Caenorhabditis elegans: one gene and its partner. The protein of the gene in region 1 interacts with the protein of each later gene in a pairwise test. Each region holds a gene or a part of one and is shown in the gene's direction. Other genes may lie near its edges.

The links.
Region 2: the proteins of rde-3 (region 1) and zyg-11 interact in a two-hybrid assay, tested with the Caenorhabditis elegans proteins (one large-scale study listed by BioGRID).

Annotation. Positions count from the first base shown.
Region 1 is NC_003279.8:6,355,861-6,360,374, reverse strand, and holds rde-3 (PAP-associated domain-containing protein), read left to right. Parts: upstream 1-1,964; 5' UTR 1,965-1,979; coding exon 1,980-2,156; intron 2,157-2,200; coding exon 2,201-2,439; intron 2,440-2,488; coding exon 2,489-2,707; intron 2,708-2,754; coding exon 2,755-2,847; intron 2,848-2,898; coding exon 2,899-2,984; intron 2,985-3,034; coding exon 3,035-3,233; intron 3,234-3,304; coding exon 3,305-3,430; intron 3,431-3,476; coding exon 3,477-3,663; 3' UTR 3,664-3,761; downstream 3,762-4,514. Other genes in the region: K04F10.3 (Vacuolar protein sorting-associated protein 28 homolog), read right to left, coding at 217-283, 751-953, 1,048-1,215, 1,263-1,445, 1,490-1,583, 1,627-1,700; Endoprotease bli-4, read right to left, coding at 3,917-4,031, 4,082-4,235, 4,289-4,514.
Region 2 is NC_003280.10:8,015,443-8,021,317, forward strand, and holds zyg-11 (Early embryogenesis protein zyg-11), read left to right. Parts: upstream 1-2,237; 5' UTR 2,238-2,249; coding exon 2,250-2,346; intron 2,347-2,389; coding exon 2,390-2,626; intron 2,627-2,669; coding exon 2,670-3,290; intron 3,291-3,342; coding exon 3,343-3,637; intron 3,638-3,686; coding exon 3,687-4,316; intron 4,317-4,362; coding exon 4,363-4,701; intron 4,702-4,758; coding exon 4,759-4,939; 3' UTR 4,940-5,343; downstream 5,344-5,875. Other genes in the region: hda-2 (Putative histone deacetylase 2), read right to left, coding at 5,476-5,875.

The DNA of each region.
Region 1 (4,514 bases):
TTATGTGTGGGGAAGGAACAATACAAGTAAATGTGACAGGCAGAAAGACACACAGGGACCAAATATTGAAATCTGATTAGGAGGGAAAAAGTGAGGTCAAAAATAAATAGTACAATCATTGCAATACATTTATAAACGAGTTGGTGAGAGATTCTAGTTAAGGAATTTTGATATGACAGTGGATTTTCTATTTTTCGATTGTGAAGAATTCAAAAGTTAGTTTGTAGAATCACCAGCAGCGTTGTTATTCGTTGGTTGAGTTTTTGCAGAACGTTGATGACTCCTGAAAACAAAAAGAATTTTAAAGACAAATCATGAGGTAGCAAATTTTTTGGAAAAAATATTCGATCATATTTTATTACGACGATTTCGAAAAAAATGTACCATTTGTAAATTTTCGAAAAAAAAATTACTGGAAACTTATGAACTTAAAAAAATTGTTTTTTAAAAAATTTAACAAAAAATACACTGGACAAAAAACTAGTAACTAGAGTCAAAAAATGGCTAAAATTGTTAAAATTTCAACAAAAAAATCTTACAAAATTTTTTCATACTATTTGCATATTTTTCCATTTATTATGAGTTTTTTGGTACATTTCCGTCGATTATGCAAAAATTTCATCTATCGACCAAAAATCGCAATCAATGAAAAATTGTCGTGAACGACAAAAATATGTGATAAATAAGTAAGAATTACTTTGAAGCGTTAAATTTGAAAATAATTTGAATTAAAAATTTATAATAATTTACCGCCATAATGACACCAAATCTTTCACATTTGCTTCCCGAATATCTTCCATTTCGAGCATCATTCTCATCAAAAAAGTCTCAATTTCAATGGTTTTCTTTAATTTTCGTCTGTTTTCCGACCGAATTTCTTCGCGAGCAATGGACTGATCGACGAAGAGTGTCATCTGAGCAAATTCGTCAATAATGCGTGTGTTGGCTTTTTCCTGAAACAAAAATGAATAAAAAGCCTCAATAAAAAGCCCAAAAGCGCTTGAGACCTCAAACGTTTTTAAATTTTGAGTTTATAAAATAACTCACTATTGCGTTATCTATAGCTGCTTGAGAAACTTGTCTTGGCCTTTCTCTGACGTTCTGAACATGTTTGACCATCATCTGCCGATGATTGTGCATAATTGCTTCAAGAGCTAACATCAAATATTCGCGAAGGCATCGAAGCTCATGGGTGTCTTTTTGTAGAAGAATCAACTGAATGAACTCGTTTTTAGGGTTTTCAAAAACATTGGTACAAAAACCTCTTGGTGGCGGCTCGTGTCGTTTGAAGAATTTTTAACCAAACAAACTCGTCCATCCGCATCCAAAGTGTAGTTTTTATTGTTTAGTTTGTTAACTTCTTCATTAAGAAGGTTTTGATGTCCACCATTCCGAGCTAAAAGCGATTCGAGGGTTCTTTTACTGCTGGCGATGCCGTCACTTGCCTGCAAGAAGATTAGTTATTGAAACACTAATACATTTCACTTACAATCTTTTTATAACTCTTGTCAAGACTTTGATTAAGCACGAATTTCTCCAAATTGTTGATAACCTTCTGCGAACTGGCGCTATCAGTCCTGTAACTTTTGAAGCGATAAAAACATTATTATGAACAGATTGACTTACCATTTTACAGTCGTTTCTGCAGAAACTTGTGCTGAATTTTCATCGGGAACAAAAATACTTTCATCATCGGACATGCTTCGCTTTTTTGATTAAATTACAAAAAAAAATCGTTGGAGAAACGAAGAATGTGCATAGTGCACGGAGAGTGCGCTAACACAACTCCTTTGCGCGGTATCGGTGCGAGTCCGGGAAATTCATAAAATTGTTTATTCGTTTCTTGGAATGTTAATGTTCATTTTTATACAGCAAGCACATTTGTGCATTTCCTTCCAGTTTTTTAAAAGAATTATATTGTCGCGCTTTATTTCACCTCCAATGAGAATAATAATTGAATATTTTTTGTAGTAACAACAATGTCTCAACCAAATAAAGATCAGCGAAGTCCAGAAGACATAGACTTTAAGGTCAAAGCGAATCCAAAAGCGTTTCACAAATTTAACGGAAAGTTTCAACGCGTTTTAAGGGATCACGAGGACGATTTCAATATATTGTCTATCAGTATGCAGGATCATTTCGATACTACGAAACAGGTTGCTTTGAATTAAATGAAAAATTAAGAGTTCCTTATTTTCAGCCAAAAGAGGAGTTCGGTAAAAAAATGGATTGGTGCTATCAGCTGAAGAATATAATTTCGAAGAACAATCCAACGTGGCTATTCAATATCGTGCCAACTGGAAGTACAGTAACCGGATTGGCCACTAAAAACAGTGATCTAGACGTTGCAATTCATATCCCACAAGCGGCAAGAGTTCTGGAACAAGAAGAACGTGGAAGAAATATCACAGATGACGAACGACAAGCATCATGGAGAGAGTTAGGCTTTCTCGGGATTAATTAATTATTTAAATGACATAAATTACAGAATTCAATTGGAAATCCTACAAATTGTCCGTCTTAACTTACAAAATGATGAACAGATCAATTCAAGAATTAATTGGGAACATGGAATCCAGCTCGTTCAAGCTCAAATTCAAATTTTGAAAGTGATGACGGTAGACGGAATCGATTGTGATATCAGTGTAGTTATGGATCGATTTCTGTCATCGATGCACAATTCTTTTTTGATTCGACATTTGGCACAGTTAGTTTTCTTGTTGTTAGACATTCTATTTCCAATTAATTTTGAAGTATCGACGGCCGATTTGCACCATTATGTGCAATCGTAAAACAATGGGCAGCCAGTACAAAAGTTAAAGATCCAAAAGATGGAGGATTCAACAGGTTAAATATTAATCACTTTATTTGAATTTATCTAAAATTCTGAAATTTCAGTTATGCACTTGTTCTACTGGTGATTCACTTCCTCCAATGCGGTACATTTCCACCAATACTGCCAAATTTGCAAGAAATCTTTAAAAGTGAGTGAATATATTCTCTGTTGTTTTTTTTTCATAATTAAACATTTCAGAGGATAATTTCATTGCTTGGGATGACAAAGTCTATCCATCAATTTTGAATTTTGGTGCACCACTTCCCAAGCCTCTTCCTAGAATTGCCCCAAATAATGCTCCACTGGCAAGATTGTTCATCGAATTTCTATATTACTACTCGATGTTCAACTTCAAAGAAAACTACATTGGTGCCAGGCCTGTAATGGTCATGGATCGGTAGATTTTTTTTTCTGTGAATACAAATTAACCAATTGGATCTTCTTCAAAATAATAAACTGAAATTTCAGAAGAACATCACAAAACAATATGGTTCGTAGTTCAACAAACAAAGAGGTGTGTATTCAAGATCCATTCGATGAGCACAACCCGGGAAGAACTGTAAGAACATTGAATAGAATTAAAGATGTTATGAGGTAACCTTGAAGAAAACACAGATTTTAATTAATTGCTTACTTTCAGAAGCACATATCAGAAGTTTCTCCCTGTCGAAGGCTCCGAATTCACGTTTCCTACACTAGATGATATTATCAATATGTCACCAGAAGTGCCTAAACCATCGCGTGCAGAAGTTCGAAACTTCCGAGCTGAAGCCACAGAAGTGAATCGAGTCGGCTTAGGTGTCTACTGTCGGAACTCATTTGTATAGTCTTAATATGTCGATGTTTTGTCTTGTGTAATTAATTCAACAATCTATTTATAACATGGAAACAGTACGGTATAATAAAAATAAACCCGGTATAAGACAAAAGAAACAATACAATCACATGATAAAAGGCCACTTGAAAACGTTTCAGGTTTTAAAATTTTGAAAAAGAAACAATTACCCGGATTTCACAAGCATACACAAAGAAGTTGGCAGAAAAATTACAATTAAAAACATGAATTTTGAAAGGTTTGGTTTAAACAATTTGAGGGTTCACAAATACTTCATCCTCATCATCGTCTTCATCGTCAGTGTGTGCTCCTAAATTGATAGCACCATTTGTGGCATTATATTGAGCAAGCGGCGCATATCTAAAAATATTAAAATTCGAATTACGGAGACGATAACTAGCAAGGCTTACTCTACGTTTGAGCTTTTCGTCTCACTTGCACACTTTTTACAGGCACAGATTCCACAAGCCGCAATCAAACTAACTACAATCCAGAACATCAATCCAAATCCAGATGATTTATTAGAATCAATCAAAAGTGTAGGATCCGGCTTGGAGCAGTCCTCTGAAAAAATAATTGTGAGAATACCTGGAAGATTTTGAGAGTGTCTTCCTTACCACATTGCCAACTCTTTGTTGATCCTTCAGGACAACACGGTCTACAGTATCCAATCGATCCTTTACCATAACCTTTTGAACATTTCTCACAGCTCATTGGACCAGGAGCGGTGCAAGTTTCGCATGAGGAGTCGCAAAGATCACATTTTCCAACAGCGTTGATGTAATATCCGTCACCACAAAGATCTTTTCTCCAGATACATTTAGCTTGAACAAGATTCGATTC
Region 2 (5,875 bases), on another chromosome or scaffold:
GAAAAAATATTACTTGAATTTTCAATTGAGAACTGAATTCGACGAATTCGACTGTAAAGTAGAAATTCACTAAAAATCAATAAATGCAAATGCGCCCCACCGCACATAATAATTTTCAGTACGGTATGCGGGAAAAAAAAAACTGTTTTTTTCGCGCATTTTTTGCATTTTCTCGCCACAAATCTTATTTTCTGTCTGCGTTACATCTCAAAGTCAGCAGAATGAGCGAATGATAACCATCTCTTGTACTGTTTATAACCTTCTCTCTTAATTTTTCTTGTTGTAGCCGCCGCTTCCCCCCAGTTCATTTCACCGTGTCTTTCGTTTCTCGAGAACCTTCTTTTTCTTTATTTCTTCCTTTTTTCTTCAAAAAATCAGTGTCAACAAGCTAGACCAGCTGACTTCTCAACTCTTCGGTCATTGCTCTTTTCGTGTTCATTTTGTTACACTTGTACTGCGTGCACATATGAAGATGAATTGGCAACGAATTGTTTGCAAAAGAAGTGATCGGAAGCTTAACTTTTCAGTGTGTGGAGCAGTACAAATACCATGTAGCTTTGTTTTAACTTGTAAGAGAAAAAAAGAGATGAGTAGGCTGGTTATTTCCAATGATTTTGAGATATTTCATGCGAAAAAGTTTACTTTCATCGATCTCACGAAAAACTTTGCACAACTCTCCTGATCTGCAACCAGAAAATTCGTTGTCCTTTCTGTTTTCTTTCTAAATTTTTTTTCTATTTTCGCTTGCCGTCATTATTATTATCCAACATTCGAGAGTATTTAGAGAAAATGAGAGAAAAAATGTGTGCTTTCTTTACAATTGACAGGAGAGAGAGACGTCGGGGAAACCCTCTTCTTCTGATTCTCACCCATCCCGTTATCATGATCACATGACACTTCCCTCCACTCCGGGGTTCCCCGTACTGAATGTAATCAGTTGGTTGGTCGACTACCCAGTCGACGGTGAAAACTTCACGCGAGCATCGCAATTTTCATTTATTTTTTCTTAACTTTTCTCGGTATTAACGCATTTTTTTCTTTTGTACGATACGATGCGACATGATTCAAGGTTGCCTCGATTGATTTTACTGAATTCAGAAGTTCAACCTGACGATTAGTAATTTTATTTATTTTATTCATCGGAAATACGATTAAATACTTAAAGCATTCTCAATATAATTTTATTGACCGTTGACACTCACATGTGAGTTGAGTTGATTTTTAGAAAAGAGACGTAATGGGAAAAAACCACGTGTAGTGTTATCAGCCATTCTCGAATGTCGTTGAAATTGTGCAATACCCGGACAACCACAATCCAGCGAACAAATTGATAATGATAGTTTGAAAAATTGTGTCAACTTATTCAAATTTGCAACAATGTTTAAAAGTGCGTAGATCATGTCTGCGTCTCATCGGGAATGTTGACCGCCTGATGTGCGTGCGCATTCGAAACAATTATCATCGACGTTTTCGAATTATTTTCCTCTCGTCTTCTCGGCATGCGTTTGCGTGCAATCATACCGAAGAAACGGTATAGTATACTGTTCAATCAGTTAGTCACATGTAATAGTTGAAAGGGGTTCCCCATAATGACATGTGATCTTTTCTTCTTTTTCCTTTTCTTCGTACTGTTCTCATGACGTAATGTTCTCTTGATTGAAAAAGAAGTCGTTGTTGAAGGAGAATTGAAAGAGATGCAGAAAAACAAATTATCGATAAATTTTCTGTTGCTATTCAATAAGATTTTTCAACAGTAAGGATGTAGTTTGTAACATACGAATATTAACATATCTTTGCACCCCGTATTAAATCTAATTGGAATTAATTTTTTATGTATCAGCAAAAGATGAAATTTTCGACCGTCTAATAAAAAAATCATTACTTTTATTTTAATATTACTTGTTGCTTAAAAATGCATTTTCGCTCCAATGACATGGCCGAGGACCGTTTAAGGCCGACGTTAATATGCCCATCGTCCAGTGTCCCATACTCTTTTCTACCTCTCCTTTTTCTCTTACTTTCATTTTCTTTGTGTAAGTGTCTGGAACCAGTCTGCTCCTTCTTTCTCATCTATTTTCACCCTCTCACTTTACTATTTGTTCTCATTTTCTATAAATTGCAACCTACATAGTAACTCATAGAGAGTCCCACTAAATATTTATTTAGCCCTCATTCATCAGGCACTTCGATCTCTCTTTACTTTTCACTAATAAAGTTAATTTTACTTTTAATTTCAGATTTCATCTGATATGGATCACAATGCAGCTCTGACGACATGCAGTACCTCGGCCATTCCGAGACTTGCGAGATTGGCGACTGAACGAATTGCTGAGCTCATCGAAAATGGTAAATTTATTGATTTCGGCATTTATGGAAATTAAAGTTTCAGATGCTCTGCCAGAGTTTGATCACAAGGTAATCGCCTCATGCAGCAACGATATTTTTGAAGTTCTTCGCCAAAAAAAGAAACTCAATCATCAAACTTTGCAAACGATGTGCAGTACCTCACGATTCCAAATCAATAAAATTGATTTGATGGGCAACAAGGTTGAGTTGCAAGATTTGGAGCTTTGTTCGAACCAGAACCTGGTTTCATTCCGACTTGGCGATATTGATTACTTTCCAAGTAAGCAGTTTTTGTTAAAACATTTTAATACATTTTTTTTCAGATACGAACAAAATTCAAGTGGCTGACGTGCTTGATACGGCACTCAACCGAACTTCACGACAACAGCTTCGACATCTTGATCTGAGTGGACGACACAGAATCACTTCAAATTGGCCGACGTATGTAGCGAGAAAACTTCCTCGTCTGGAAAGTCTTGCTTTCGCTAACAGAAGCACTGCCAACGAAACTTTGTCACAAATTGGAGCGAGTTTGTTGAATCTTCGGTTCCTGGACATTTCGAGCACCTGTGTCACGGATATTTCTTGCATTTCAAGTCTTCGAAATCTCGAAGTCCTCATTATGTACAACCTGAACATTTTGAAAGGGGATGTCACAGAGACATTGTCTAATTTGACAAAATTGCGTGTATTAGACATTTCAAGAAAAGTCAACACAGACTATTTACAAGAAACGTCACAGGATGCTCATCTCGATTTGGCTCTTGGTATCTACAACAGATCTGTGGAAGCAATTGAGAGCGGGACAGCTACGCCTTGGGCGGAGCTAAGAGCAATTGATATGTCTGGTTTGAGCATTGTTCAATTTGGTACCGATCGAGCACTGGCATTTGTTGAGAAGATTATTGAGGCGCATCCGAAATTAGAGCAAATTAGCTTACTTGGTTAGTAATAGTTTTATTCTGGAAATGTAGTGTTTTAATTCTGAAATTACAGCAACTCCACTCGACTCGTCACTCATTGAGATTCCAAACAGAAATTTGCAAGTGATCAACACAGTCTCGAGAAGATCTATCATTTTTGCATTGTCCCATTATGCAAATCTGGACAGGCCTGCATTCATCACTCATGCTCTCCATTCTGTGTATTACCAGTTACAGTCCGGCTACGACAAGTTTTCACAGGAGGAGTTGAAAGAGTGTTTACGGCTTGTGTGTATCTCGATGCAGCAGGGGCTCAACACTTTGCCAGTGCAGATTGCGGGTAGTGCTTGTCTCTATCATCTTTGCAAGTACGTATTATTATTTTATAAATGTATTTTCCATGATGGAAACTTTCAGAATGAAGCGAATCAAGAGATTATCAGTAAAAGAAGTCAACAATTGCATTGAACGGTCACTTGACGCAGCAGAGCAGTATAGAAGCATGACGCAGCTGCAGAAGAACGTCTGGCTTACAATTTGTAATGATTATCTTCTTCATTTGGATGAAATTGATTTCTACCGTACCTGCAAAGTTGCTCTCGACACGATGCTTTTGAATCGTGATGCCAGCGTTGAGAGAATGACTATTGCAATTGTGTCGATTGTGACTCCAAAGATGCGACCATCAGAAGCAAAGATTCTAACAACTGAAACCAAATATGTATACCATCTTGTCAAAATCATGAATGATTATCTGGAGGCATATACTCGTGAACATCGAGTTGGACACGAACGAGACAATGAAAATGCACTGTATACTCTGAAGTTCACCCTGAGTGCACTCTGGAATCTAACAGACGAATGCCCGGCTACATGCAAAGCATTTTTGGATGCTGGAGGTGTTCAGATTGCGTTCAGAATTCTCAAAGCTTTTGATTATCATGGAAATGTGCAGACGAAGGTTCTTGGCATCCTCAACAACTTGGCCGAAGTGGAAGAATTGCATTTGGGACAGCTTTGCAAAAACGAGTATATTTCTGTTCTTATGTATGTTTTTTAATTCGTTGAATTCAATTTAACCAATTTTTTTCAGTTCTTGTCTTGACGGATCATTCAACGAAGTAGATTCGAAAGGACGGTATCGTGAAGTTGAACGATCTTATTTCGCTGCTGGAATTCTCGCTAATCTTCTGACCAACACTGATGGTTGGGAGAGTGAAAATCAACGTGACGAAGCTTGCGAAAAGCTCTTGGAGCTTATTGAGCAGTATCCCACACTTCCATCGGCAATGGTCTCCTACAAATCTTTCATTCCATTCAGTCGTATTGTTAGAGAGTCAAATTCGAATGGGGCCATCATGTGGTGTTTGTGGGGAGTTCATCACGTTCTTCAACATCGCGAGAAGAACAAAGCGCCTACGTATGAGAAAGGGTACGTTTTTGATTTACTTTTTTCTTAATTTCAAAAATCATTTCAAAACATTTTCAGATACATCGAAATGTTTATGGATTCCGGGCTTTCTCCAATCGTCGAGGATATGTCCCATGGACACTCGAAACACATTCACAATCTGGATATTCGTGTGGTTCATCTCGCACGAGAAATCATTGACATTGTCTCATGCCATTCACTATCTTCCAGCCCAGTTCGATTAGTCCGTCGAGTTTAGTCATTTTTTTGTTTATTTTTTTTATTATTATTTTTGTTTAGCTTTCCCATTTTCAAAGTCCCCATCTACAGGTATATCAAATTGAAACAAGTTATATTTATACGGGTTGATATTTTTATCCGTTTCACCCATAGCAATTAGATTGCATTAAAAACTAAATTAGATGTTTGGTTTCACTATTTTTCACTTCTCCCTGTAATATGTTGAACTGTGAATGTGATTACTTCTGTGGATATTTCATCGGTTGTTTCCATTTCTTTTTCTGTACCCATCCCTACTCACAAATTTGCTCGTCCCACTTTCTTTCGCGGGTATTTTTTCGGGAGTACCATTTCCTCCTTTATGTTTGAAATAGTTGTATATTTTCAGATTCTATTGTGAATGAAAACGTTGAAGCTCTGAAATTTGGTTTATTACTTGAGAAATTTAGAGATCATGCAACAGAAAACAATATAAAATCGGAAATACTGAAAACCAACACAGAAAAGATTTTTGACAAATTCATCACAGTGTTTAATCATTAATTACATGGAAAGTTACGGAATTCCGGGAATATTGAGATCTTTTCGTCTGTCGCGATCTTCATATTTTGCTTCTTCAATAACATCCGAGTGACTTCTCGGTGGAGCCAATCCAGACCTGTCATATCCCCAGTACTGACCAATCCGACGAGGATCTTGACCCGGTGGAAATGATGGAGGTTTTGAGTCTTCTTCTACAAAGCATTCTTCTTCCATTTTCTCTGATACTTTTCCAACTTCATATTCAATTGAAGATTTTGATGATTTTTGTAGTCGTTCATTTTCTTCGATTTGCTCAATTTCGTCGAGCCTGATTCCAACAATATTTTGCATTTGAACTGATGGTGCTCCACGAATCATTCTCAAACATGCCAGCGTTTCTTTTTCAATAGAAGCCAAATATGCCGCAGAATTA